3 linked regions of the Mus musculus genome follow. The protein of the gene in region 3 purifies or fractionates together with the protein of the main gene of each other region. This does not show direct contact. Links are inferred from orthologs where the notes say so. Each region holds a gene or a part of one and is shown on either strand. Other genes may lie near its edges.

Evidence for each region.
Region 1: the proteins of Kdr (region 3) and Ptpn6 purify together in Homo sapiens (affinity purification with western blotting; 3 studies listed by BioGRID and IntAct, with this or other methods). This does not show direct contact. The link is inferred for Mus musculus from reciprocal best matches to the Homo sapiens genes KDR and PTPN6.
Region 2: the proteins of Kdr (region 3) and Cdh5 purify together in Homo sapiens (affinity purification with western blotting; 3 studies listed by BioGRID and IntAct, with this or other methods). This does not show direct contact. The link is inferred for Mus musculus from reciprocal best matches to the Homo sapiens genes KDR and CDH5.

What each region holds. Positions count from the first base shown.
Region 1 is NC_000072.6:124,730,253-124,734,389, reverse strand, and holds the start of Ptpn6 (tyrosine-protein phosphatase non-receptor type 6), read left to right. Parts: upstream 1-1,235; 5' UTR 1,236-1,436; coding exon 1,437-1,444; intron 1,445-1,529; coding exon 1,530-1,652; intron 1,653-1,895; coding exon 1,896-2,090; intron 2,091-4,137. UniProt on the Homo sapiens protein: Tyrosine phosphatase enzyme that plays important roles in controlling immune signaling pathways and fundamental physiological processes such as hematopoiesis.
Region 2 is NC_000074.6:104,100,281-104,104,455, reverse strand, and holds the start of Cdh5 (cadherin-5 preproprotein), read right to left. Parts: upstream 2,832-4,175; 5' UTR 2,724-2,831; intron 1-2,723. UniProt on the Homo sapiens protein: Cadherins are calcium-dependent cell adhesion proteins. They preferentially interact with themselves in a homophilic manner in connecting cells; cadherins may thus contribute to the sorting of heterogeneous cell types.
Region 3 is NC_000071.6:75,961,317-75,964,961, reverse strand, and holds part of Kdr (vascular endothelial growth factor receptor 2 isoform 1 precursor), read left to right. Parts: intron 1-22; coding exon 23-137; intron 138-223; coding exon 224-387; intron 388-2,095; coding exon 2,096-2,252; intron 2,253-3,116; coding exon 3,117-3,228; intron 3,229-3,645. UniProt on the Homo sapiens protein: Tyrosine-protein kinase that acts as a cell-surface receptor for VEGFA, VEGFC and VEGFD. Plays an essential role in the regulation of angiogenesis, vascular development, vascular permeability, and embryonic hematopoiesis.

The sequences.
Region 1 (4,137 bases), on a different chromosome or scaffold from region 3:
AAGGGACTGAGAGTCTGGGTTGGTTTTGTTGTTCTTGTTGTTGAAACAGGTCTCACTATATAGCGCTAGATATCCTGGAACTCACTGTATAGACCAAGTTGGCCTCAAACTCACAGAGAGCTGCCTGCCTATGCCTCCCAAGTGTTGGGATTAAAGGCATGGGTTACCATGCCCAGCTAGGACTGGGGTTCTAATTTCAGTATTATAAAACAAACAAACAAACAAACAAACAAACAAACCAAAACTAACCAATCAAAACACCTCAGACAATAAACCCTTAAAAGATATAAGGTGCTCTGTCCCATCTCCCTTCTCCAGCAGCCTGTGTCCCTTGCTAAGGAAGATACCAATATAAATTGGGCAGCTTGTTTCCCCTCTGGTCTTGGCTTGGTAGTATTTGCATCTTTTTTTGTATTCATCCTGGGGTTTACATACACAAGGTCCCATAAGCCTGAAGGCTGAGCGCTCCTAAAGTTTAAAGCCCTCCCTGTGAGCGTCTGCCCTTGTTGGGACCCTGGCCATAAACCCTAACCTTTAGGAGATACCTTCCCACCCCACCCCTCCCTGCTGACAGTCAGGGTATAGGAAGGAGGCCTAGGCCCATGATGACAGAGCTGCACAAGGTTGCTTTGTGGGGGCTCTCAGCTGTGATGATAGCATCTCCTTTGGACAAGGAGTCTATTGACTACTGTTCTTTGGGTCCTGAGGGCTGGCAAGCAGAATTCAAAAGTCATTGGCTTTGAAACTATTTAGGTCTGAATCCTGCAACTCACTAAGGGTAAGACCTGGGGGCAATTCCTCAAACTTCTTGGCCTCAGTTTCCTTGTCTGTGAAGTGGGGATAAAGATAGTGCCTGAGGAATGAGGCCCTGGTGACCTGTAACTCACAGGAGGCATGAAAATGACATTGTAGCAATGAGTCTGGCAGGCTGCGACACTCCATTAAATGACGGTGCCACTGCACACGATCATTATTAGACTGTGCCTAAGAATAATTCTGAGTAGAGGCAGCTGCTGGAGGAGGAAGGGTTGACCTGATAATGTGGATATTCACTGTGCGTGACTCTTGACCTGCCACACGTGTGCCTTACCTCTTGAGTCATGAATATTTACTGCCTTGCCCCTGTGCCTTTGTTGGCAGACTGTGGGAAGTGGGCCCTCCCCCACCCTGCCACCCTCCAGCTCCTCTTCCCTCGCTCTGAAAAGAGAAGTTCTAGTGAGTTCCCCTAAGGGGTCGGCCGCGCCCCTTCCTGTCTCCGCCCTGCTGGCTGCCCCAGGCCAGTAGAGTGGTAGCCCGGGGAGCAGGACTGCAGGTTGGCTTTGGAGGCCTGGGCTCTGAGAGCCTTGCCTGAGGCTCATCTCTAGAGTTTGTACGTGCCTGCCCAGACAAACTGTTCCCTCCACATTTTCTGCAGCCAATTCAGTGAGAACCCCAGGATGGTGAGGTAAGGGCCTGGGACCCATGGAGGATAGGAAACAAGGGTGGCTGGAGCCCTGGGGATATTCCCTCACTGCCCTGTGCACTTTTAGGTGGTTTCACCGGGACCTCAGCGGGCCTGATGCAGAGACCCTGCTGAAGGGCCGGGGAGTCCCTGGGAGCTTCCTGGCTCGGCCCAGCCGCAAGAACCAGGGTGACTTCTCCCTCTCAGTCAGGTGGGTGGCCCTCCCTGCACCTTGGCAGCTCATTGTGTGGGTCCGGAGCATTCCTGGGTTCCCTGGGTTGTGTTGTCTCCTCATGATACATTTCTTCCCTTCTGTCCCTGCCTGTCGCCCTAGCATGTGCCCATAACTGTCTATGTCTACTCCATGCCTATGTGCTTTTGCATCGAGACCCCTGTCCCCCCAAGCCCACCCCGCTGCTGCTCATGTATCTCACTACCTGGTGGTGCCTCGCAGGGTGGATGATCAGGTGACTCATATTCGGATCCAGAACTCAGGGGACTTCTATGACCTGTACGGAGGGGAGAAGTTTGCGACGCTGACAGAGCTGGTCGAGTATTACACGCAGCAGCAGGGCATCCTGCAGGACCGAGATGGCACCATCATCCACCTTAAGTACCCACTGAACTGCTCGGACCCCACCAGTGAGAGGTGAGGGGCATTGCAGGTTGGCCCTGTCCCTTGAGATAAGTGGACATCCAGACCAGGTGTCCTTCTGTTCCCAGTCCGTTCTTCATCCCTGATCTTCCACACCTGTTCTCTCAGTGTTCTCAGCCTCTTCCCTCTGTAGGCTGATGATTCCCATGTATCTAACCAATCCCCTGTCCCCTGAGGAAGCCAGAGAAGGGTTCCCCTTGCCTTCCTGCAGGGTTCCTGCTGCCTAGCAACCTCATCCTGAGAGTAACAGAGAGGCCACTCCTTGTCTCTGGTGTTTCTCATCAGGTCGGCCCTATTACTAGAAAGCTTGTCCTACCATGGAACTCTGGTGCCTTCTTCCAGCCCTCTACACAGCCTGGGGCTCTAGGTCCCTGTCTTAATAAGGTCTTAGAGGTCCACTGGTACTGGGGTACTCAGGGACTTCTCTCAGCATCACACTGAGGTGGGGCTGGACAGAGCTTGGTGAAAGCAAGGTCGCTGAGGTGGTCACAGGTAGAGAAGGGCCCAGGCTTATCTGACTTAAGGAGACCCTCAGGATATCCCCAACTAGTGCTGCAAAGACACGGCCCCCATAGCTGGGCTGGCTGTTCTCTTGTGGTCTTCTCAGAGCATGTGCAAAGGGAAGGTTATGGAGATAAATGTCCCTCATTCATTACACTGGGGCTCGTCTTAGCTGTATAGCACAGGGACTGACTGGCAACCCCTATTAACTCAGGGTTTTCTTATGGACTCTGGGGCTCTGCGTACCTGTTCCTGTCCTGTGTCTGTGTATTTACAGTTGAAATGATTCCGAACTTGATCCCCACACCCTTCTCTGCTGGGGCCTGAACCCGGGGCCTTGTCTGAGTTGAGTGAGCGCTTTGCCACTAGCTACCTTCCACGCAGTTTTAAAGTCTGTTTTGAGATTCGTGCCTACAAACTTAGCTCAATAGTTTTGTTCACAAGTTACTGACTAAAACTGAGGACTGAAGGTCTAGGGACTGTGGCTCAGGTGGTGAGTGCTTGCCTGCCATGCATTAAACACTGGGTTCTATTCCCTGTCGTGCATAAACCTAGTGTGAGTGACACGTGCCTGTGAGCCCAGGTGGAGGCAGGAAGACCAGAAGAAGGTCAAGTTTATCCTCCATTCCATAGCAAGTTTGAGGCCGGATAGGGCTCCATGAGACCTTGACTTAAACTAAAACAAGCGGAGTGGAGGTGGTACCATAGGCCTTTTATCCCAGCACTCAAAAGAGGCAGGGGAAGGTGGATGTCTGGAAGTTCAAGGCCAGCCTGGTCTATCAAGTAAGTTCCAGTACAGCCAGGGCTCCACAGAGAAACCTTGTCTTGAAAAACCAAAACCCCCAAACAAAACAACAAAAAAACTCCAACCCAAACAAACAAACAAACAACCAACCAAAAAAAACCCTCAAAACACAAAGAAAACCACAAACAAACAAACAAAGAAGCTGGAGGACACTCCCTAGAAGGCTTTCCTCTTCTGCTGGTGAGTGGGAAGGGAGGGCCTGCCCCAGGTTGTCTCTCCTCTCCTATCCTACCTGCAGCCCTCAGGATGGTTTGGCCTCTCTCTCAGATTCGCTTTGAGCCCCTTGTTTTCTCTTTGTTGCTGACTCAAGCCAGGATGCGCCCTGCTAGAGTAGACCATGGAGGTACAGCTGAATGGTGGCTGCAGTGTTCCCTGTGATCAGGAAGGAGGTGGGAGCTAAACAGGTGTTAGGAGAACAGGCCAGGGCAGTGGGGAAGCACAGGACACCCTGTGGATGATACCCTCTGACAGGGCTGCGGAGGACTCCAAGGGACACTTTGGATGGCCATTTGGGAAGAAGCTGTCTCATCCCTAACCTTAGTGTGTGTGGAAGCCATGACCCAATGGCTCCTCTCTTTGCCCCTCCTCTTCTGGGAAATTTGCATTTGTCCCCTCAATAGTGAACTCTCTGCCTGTGGTCTGTTCACATTTGCATGGAGACTTCCTCATCCTGTCCCTGAGGGAAGGAGCTGAGCCCCCTCACATTGCTTGGGGTCTCTGGCCTGTTCCTGAGGT
Region 2 (4,175 bases), on a different chromosome or scaffold from region 3:
CTAGAATATACACAGTGAACCCCAATATACACAGACAGCGCTCCCAGATATGCAGGTGTCTTGACCTCCTCCTCTCTGGTCTGTGCATTCCACCGGCTGCCTCACATCTGACCTAATTTCCTGGTCTTGCCGTAGGCTCATCCTCCCATTTCCTTGTTCTTCTCCAGGGGTAAATATCACTCACCACTATCTGTCCACCCCTGAGCCCCATTTCTCCCTCCTGGCCTGTGCATCTGCCAGGCAGTCAGAATCATCCTCTGACACGCAGAGAGACGGGAGACCAAGGCTGAGTTTATGGGAGCTGTGCGAGTCTTCCCAGAATTCCAGGTTCCCACCCTTCCTTCAAGAAGTTCTCTGTAATTTCTCCTCTCAATGCCAACTTAGAGCAGGGTTATGATGAACTTTTTATATTTCTCCAACAACAGTAGAACCATTCTCTTAGGGCAGTTCCCAGTTTATCCTTATACTGGCTGTGGTGGTCTAAATTGTATATGATTGCCTCTTCTCTAAATTTCAATATAGAGTATGGCTATGGGGTCAGCCCTATCCCTTTCCCACTTTATACTATGTGGCCACATGTCTGGCTAGCCTCTCTGGATTCCAGAGGTCCCATCAGTCACTTGGGAATTATTCATGTCAACTGAGGGGGTGCTAAGGAGGTGATGGAAGCAACCAGAAATGGTCCACTCAGCCAGGGGTTGAGATTTTTGCTAGAACGGTGGCTGGTGTCTCCGAGGTTCCCGTGCAACTGTGACTCATCTAACTTTGGGAGAAAAAAAGTGTGGCCCTTCAGGCTTCCTGCTCTATGTCCGGTTCTTGTTTAGCTGCACAATGGTCGGGCTGAGACTACGGGGTAGGCAGGTTAACCCCTTCAAGGTACTGGGAACTTCTTCTAGCTCCTAATTGTGAAAAGTTAGAATTTGAAGGACTGCCCTGAGGATCAGCTGCCCCTGGCCCCTTGGGGTCACCTGGTACTTTCCAGTCCGCAAATGGCTGGGCTCAGGCCAGATGCAGGAGAGTTTTGTGTCTTTCTTGCCCACTAATTGTTCTGGGCTGTCAAAATCCTCTCTGCGACTCAGCATTCAACCCAGTTCTAAAGAACCCAGAACCCACCAGCCTCCCAGACCCTTCAAGCTTCCAACCTTGAAGTCATCCACTGTCATTAGAGTCTTGCTTGCCTGCCACATTCCTCCAGGGGTAACTAATGAACGCAGATGCCCGGAGGTGCTTGCAGCAGGGGTAGCTAAGTATATGGCCTCTCTTACTCTGGCCCTTCCTTTCACATGGGTGAGACCCCCTAACAGGAGGTGTGAGACTTGTGCTTTGTGGTTTCAAATCTTTGTGGTATTCACAGCCACCTATGGCTATGGGGTAGTGGGTAAATCCACTCAGGATTCCCTGGCTATCTATCTGCCTCTCATTAGGAGTTAAGCCCAGAGCCAAGAGTGTATATCACAAGTAAGGACTGAAGATGTTTCTACAACTTTATGGTCTAGAAGCCAGAGACCCCATGTAGTCACAGGTTCCAGGAAGAGCCCGTGCTGAGGAGGACTAAATCTAAGTTCCCATCGTCATTCTGACTCAATTTTCACACTAACTCTCCTCTGGATCTCTGTTGTTGTCTCTGAGTACAGAGTTACCCTATCTACCTCCTTGGGACTGGATAGTAAATCCAGGAGCCATTGTTTTGTCGGAATATTCTTTCTGCATGAACCATCTCCACCGCTCACCACAGATTGTGAATAGAATTGCATCCAAAAATGTCCTCTCCTAATGAAGGTTTGGAGACCTTAGGTTACCGTCCCAAGGCCACACCGAAGTGAGTAGGCTGGGATCAGTGCCGAGGGTCACTGTCTCTGAGCTGGGCTTTTGGCTCAGAGGTCCTTGTCTCTAGGGCCTTCCAGAGACTTTGCTGAGCTGTACGGCCACAAGAATTCTTGAGCTCTGGGCTCTGAGTATCTGGTGTTGGGGGAGAAACTACAGGCTACCTTCCTGCCTGCAACTGCCGAAACACAAAGCAGGCTCTGAGAGTCTAGGGGAGATGAGGGAAGAGGGCTCATAAATGGGACTCCAAGTGCCCAGAGCTGAACCTCAGAAGGCCCATCTTGAAAGTGGGAGATATTGACAGAGGGAACGAGTACCCCTTTCAGCTCCCCAAATCCCACCCTAGTCCCTCGAGGTGTTGTAGGTAGAGATAACGGGGCAGGGGAATATAAGTCAGACCTTGGGAAATCTATCTCTTTAGCTCTGGACCAGATTGTCCTTTGGGCAGAAGGCAGAGCTAATCCTGGTAGATAGGGAAGGGAATCACAGAGCCGTTATTTGTCCATCCCACACAAAGCAGATCCTACTCAAATCCAAGGTCCAGACTCCAGTCCTCTGCCCTTGTCCTTGCTGAGTGACAGTGGAAATCCTATCCTCTTTGAGCCTGGTAGTCATAGAAGCTCCAGGTCACTGGAGTTTCCCTGAGTACGACAGTCTACTTACAAGGCTGCTGAGTCTTTCTTGAACATTGGTTCTGAGATAACCGTTTGTGTCCTTGCACACTAAGAGATATGCATTTTTTTTAGCCCTACCCTGGCCCCAGCAGAGAGACTCAGGCTCCGGAGAGGCTGTGTTCCCTTGAGAGTCCTACAGTGGCCATCCCATACGGGCAAGCCAGGACTCTCCCAGTTTTATCTCCATGAGACAGGAGTAGAGAGGGATTTGGGAGTCTCACTTACCTTGTCCGTGAGCAGAAGGCTCTCTCCACTGCAGTCTGTCCAGGGCCGAGCTTTGTGGAGAGCACAGTTGATTGCCTCAGGAGGGGAGAGGGGAGCCACACCCAGGCTGGGAGGGAGGCAGGTTTTCCAACTGGCCCTGGCCCACTTCCCCTCGGGATGGTTTCCTGTTATTGTTCCTTTGTGAGCTGCCTGCAGATAGGCAAGCCCTACGGTGGGCGGCCTCAGCTTGGTCAGCCTGGGCCCGTGGAAGCCTTGGACCTGCCTGGGGTATTCAACTCATACCTCAATTCTAGGTCTCATCGGAGGAGCTGTGAGCCTAGGGGTAGCTGTGGGGGCTCTAAGCTTCTGCCAGAGCATTCAGCCATCCCTGGGAGGCAGGTGTCATATCCCCCACTTTACAGTTCAGAAAGCAGAGGCTTAGTGGGTCTAAGGTACTTGTTTCCTCGCTGGACAGAGTAACCCAGACAGAAACCCAGCTACCTCAGCTTCTCCACAGAGCCGGCTTTCCGTGGCGACTCTGTAGTATGGTGGAACGAAAGGGGGCTGTGGAGTTCTCAGAGTCGGGCAGCTGAGAAACGTGACAGACAATCACTTTCAGCAGCAGATTTTGCCTGTCAGATTCTTCCAGGTAGGGCAGTGTGAGTTTCAGTTCCAAGGTACCAGCCTGGCCCATCTCACTTTACAAATACTGGGTGATGGGCTTCACGTGACCATGGACCAACCAGGGATCCATGCCTCAGTCTCCTCATCTGTATAATGGAGATAGCCATAGGTCTGAGTCAGCAAAAAAGTAAGAAGAGCTAAGAAGACAGCAAAGCAGTAGGTAGACCAGGGTCCCTCAGGACCAAGAGGCTGGGGAGATGAGGTCAAGATTCTCTTCATTCAGCCAGGCGTGGTGGCGCACGCCTTTAATCCCAGCACTCGGGAGGCAGAGGCAGGTGGATTTCTGAGTTCGAGGCCAGCCTGGTCTACAGAGTGTGTTCCAGGATAGCCAGGGCTATACAGAGAAACCCTGTCTCGAAAAACCAAAAAAAAAGAAAAAAAAAAAAAAAGAAAAAGATTCTCTTCATTCATTATGTGATGGGTTAGTAAAAATTTCAGGGTTCTGGCTCAGAGTAAATGACAGACCCCCAGAGTGTACCTTTTGGCAAATTGCCTGGGTTTCTTCATGCATAAAAGTTTGGGAAGTCCCCAACTTGTCCTGCTTTTCAGTGAGGCAAAGAGGGACCATAAGAGAGCAGATCTTTCCGGGCATGGAGAAAATACTGTGGGGGTAGGGTGGGGTGTGGTGGGGGGAAGAAAGGGTTTTCTGTTTGGGGTAGGTAATGTTGGAGATGCCCATTAGACACCCAAGTAGAGACATGGGCTTGGTGAACGAAAGCAAAGTTGGTGTAGCCAATCACTCCCTCCAGGTCCTCTGAGAACTGAACTGGAACGGAGGCCCAGGGAAAG
Region 3 (3,645 bases):
CACTGCTTTCATTTTCTTCTAGCAAAGCCTTTTATTGCTTTCGGTAGTGGGATGAAATCTTTGGTGGAAGCCACAGTGGGCAGTCAAGTCCGAATCCCTGTGAAGTATCTCAGTTACCCAGCTCCTGATATCAAATGGTAACTACTGGAAATAAAAGCAAAGCATTGATTCAAATGAGGTCAAATCCTTCTATTGCACTACCTCCTGGGATTGTCTCCCTTAGGTACAGAAATGGAAGGCCCATTGAGTCCAACTACACAATGATTGTTGGCGATGAACTCACCATCATGGAAGTGACTGAAAGAGATGCAGGAAACTACACGGTCATCCTCACCAACCCCATTTCAATGGAGAAACAGAGCCACATGGTCTCTCTGGTTGTGAATGGTGAGTCCATTCAGTGTCTCCTCTGCCAAAAGTTTGCTAGGGAAGAGAAAGAGTGCATCTTCATGCATCTCCCATCATTCTATTGTCTCCTGTTATGTCATCTGCATCATTAATGGGGCCAATGCATTAAGAAAATGAGAAATGACCCAGGGAGGTGGATTTGAAATGAGATGTGGTCTGGCATCCTGTGGGCCATGCTTCCTTGATAACTCATGTGAAGGTTCTGTTGGTGGTCACCTGCAAGGTGAGAGGAGATAGTACCCCCTAACCAAATGCCTCTGGGCTCACTCAAAGCTTTGTGAGCTCCTGTTGCTCCTGTCTACAAAGCTATATAGAATGAAGACTTAGGAGACCCTCCTCGTGTTTTGTGTGATGTTTTAGTCTGAAGATTTAGATGCTTGATACAGAACTCCACACAGGAGACCTGTGGAGTCCAGGATCACTGAATAACTTGCTGTCCACAGTCAGAGGTCATACTTAGAGTCTGTCCAGGAAAGCCAGGAAAGACTGTAAGCTTTTGATTTAAGAGTGTTTTAAACTTTACTTTCCCAGACTGAATGTTATAATTAAGTATTTGAGTTCAAGGTAGAAAGGTGCCACGGTCAGGTGAGTGTAGCAGGTACAGGACTGACTTAAAGTGTCTTTCTTACAGGACTTCCTTAGAATCTTCATAGGCTAATGGCTATTGTCTTCTCTGATGGGAGAGACAAGAGTATCTGGCATTTAGCTAGATTATTTGACTACAGCACTTTTCTCCCCCAGTAAATAGATTAATATTTTGCTCCAAACACAGAGGCATGCTGCTGGTGTAACTCTTTGTTCTTCTTACTGGCACCACACATTAAAACGTCAAGCAATTGTCTCAGTCCAGGAACGTACTGCCCACGCGTCTCGATCCTCCTCTGTGTATCTTCTGAGCATGGCTTCGTTTCTTTTTTCCTCTAGGGAGTATTTTTTAAAGATAACAGGTTCTGGGAAGGCTGCTTAGAAGCAGCATGGATAAAGGGGATGCAAGAGAGGGGAGGACGGCAGAAGCTGATTAAATACAGGGAAAAGAAGAAAATAATCGGGCAGCAAAGACAGAGAGGCAGACAGGGGGCAACCCCATCTCTCCACTTCACCAAGTCACCACTTTCAGTACACCCCAGCATTTCCCTTGCTGTGTGTGATACATACAGAAGCCAAGCTTCTGTTCCAAAGCCTGTGTCTACCTTTGTCCAGGATCTTGCTATATATGAACTGCTATATATGATGCCCTTGGGCAAATCTTTTAATATTTTCCCATTTCCTCTCATGTGTAAGGTGAAAGTCATAGCCATGATAACGAGAACTGAAAGTCAGCGTGGAGCACCTCAGCAAGACTGGGCATACAATAAATGTCTTTGCTGCATCATTCCAACTGCTTTCTCTCTGTACCTTCTCACCCCCTTCTTGCTGGGCTGTAGGGCATGGAGAACAACATCTCTCATGTAAGAGCGAGAGAGTGTCGCACAGGAATGTATAGCTGGCCTGAAGTCACTCGGCTTATCAGGGTTTTAGGGTTATGAGAGCCTAAGAGTTCGGGTCTTCTGTGTCCAAGTCTAGATGTCCTTCAGAAAAGCAAGCAGAAGCAAAATCATATGAGTACATAAGGCAGATCTGGTTGCTGAAATCCCCTCTATTCCTCAAAGCAATCGGGCAGTTCACAGGTTGTCTTTTCTATCTCCAGTCCCACCCCAGATCGGTGAGAAAGCCTTGATCTCGCCTATGGATTCCTACCAGTATGGGACCATGCAGACATTGACATGCACAGTCTACGCCAACCCTCCCCTGCACCACATCCAGTGGTACTGGCAGCTAGAAGAAGCCTGCTCCTACAGACCCGGGTGAGTGGGGCTGTGGGCTCTGTTTCACTTGCCATCGTGCGTCCCTTCTTGCCAAGCCATGCCAGGGTTCCGTCGAAACCCGGAAGGCTGTCTCCAAGGTTACCCCTTCAGTGGTACTTGGACTCATTCCCCCGTATCCCACTATGCGAGTCAGCTCTTTCTCCTTAGTTAGCCCTGGTGGATTCCTCTCCAAAGGGATACTACTTGCTGCGTTTGCTAGATGCCAATCATCGGATCATCTTCTGTCTGTGGACTGCAGAGGACCACACTGCTCCTCCTTATCTGTGGGAATGTCCATCTCTCAGAGGAAGTGCTGGTGGATGCGAGGCAGTGATAAACCTAGCCCAGGCCTCGAGAGTCTCAGGCCCAGGCTTATCAAGGTCTACCACAAGTGCAGACATCCTTAGGGAAAACAACAGCCACCACCTTCAACCTACCACCCCAAGCATTCCACTTCCTGTTGTTGTTTTTGAAATAGCAAACCCGAGTTTCTTCCTCTGCTGCTGGCCATTTCCTAAACAAAAGCCCGCAGTCGGTCCGTCCCAGAGAGGTGACTTTTAAGAAGCCCCAATGGCTTCCAAGTTTCCTTACCTTCCTTTGAACTAAGTGAGCTTGAATTGTCTTGTCGATCCAATTTATGAATGGAGACTTGTTCCCAGAATAGCTGCTTCCCTCCTGTATCCTCAGGACCTTCGCACTGTTGTGTATAGGCATCTATTTTTAATTGGCGCCAAGTTCTGCGAAGTGTTCGAGTGTGTCGAGGGTTATCACTAGGAACGTGATAACCAGAGGCTGACCCTTTCCGGCACTCCTGAACGAGAGAGAAGTCAAATCTTGACATGCTGCGCTTTCTCCCTCTTCCAGCCAAACAAGCCCGTATGCTTGTAAAGAATGGAGACACGTGGAGGATTTCCAGGGGGGAAACAAGATCGAAGTCACCAAAAACCAATATGCCCTGATTGAAGGAAAAAACAAAGTGAGCTTAAACTTTTTGAGTTTGATTCTCTCTCTAATTCTTATCTCTGAATAGAAGGCGGTACAATAACATGCAAAGGTATATCAAAGGTATATTGGAGGCTAATAATCGGTATGTGTGATGTCATCTATAACATCCAAGTTACAGAGTCAACCTAGGTAGATCAAGAAAGTGTGAGTTACACACACACACACACACACACACACACACACATACCCCTTCAATCTTAAAGAGGAACAAACTTATGCCATTTGCAGAAAGATGAGATCATCACATGAAGCAAAATAAGTTCGACTTAGCAATGCACATATGATTTTCCTACATACGAGTCAAGATAAAATAAAAGACATCGGAGGTAGAGAAGACTATTTGGGAAGAGGAGAGGGATCATTTGGAGTGGAGTGGGGGAAGACAGAA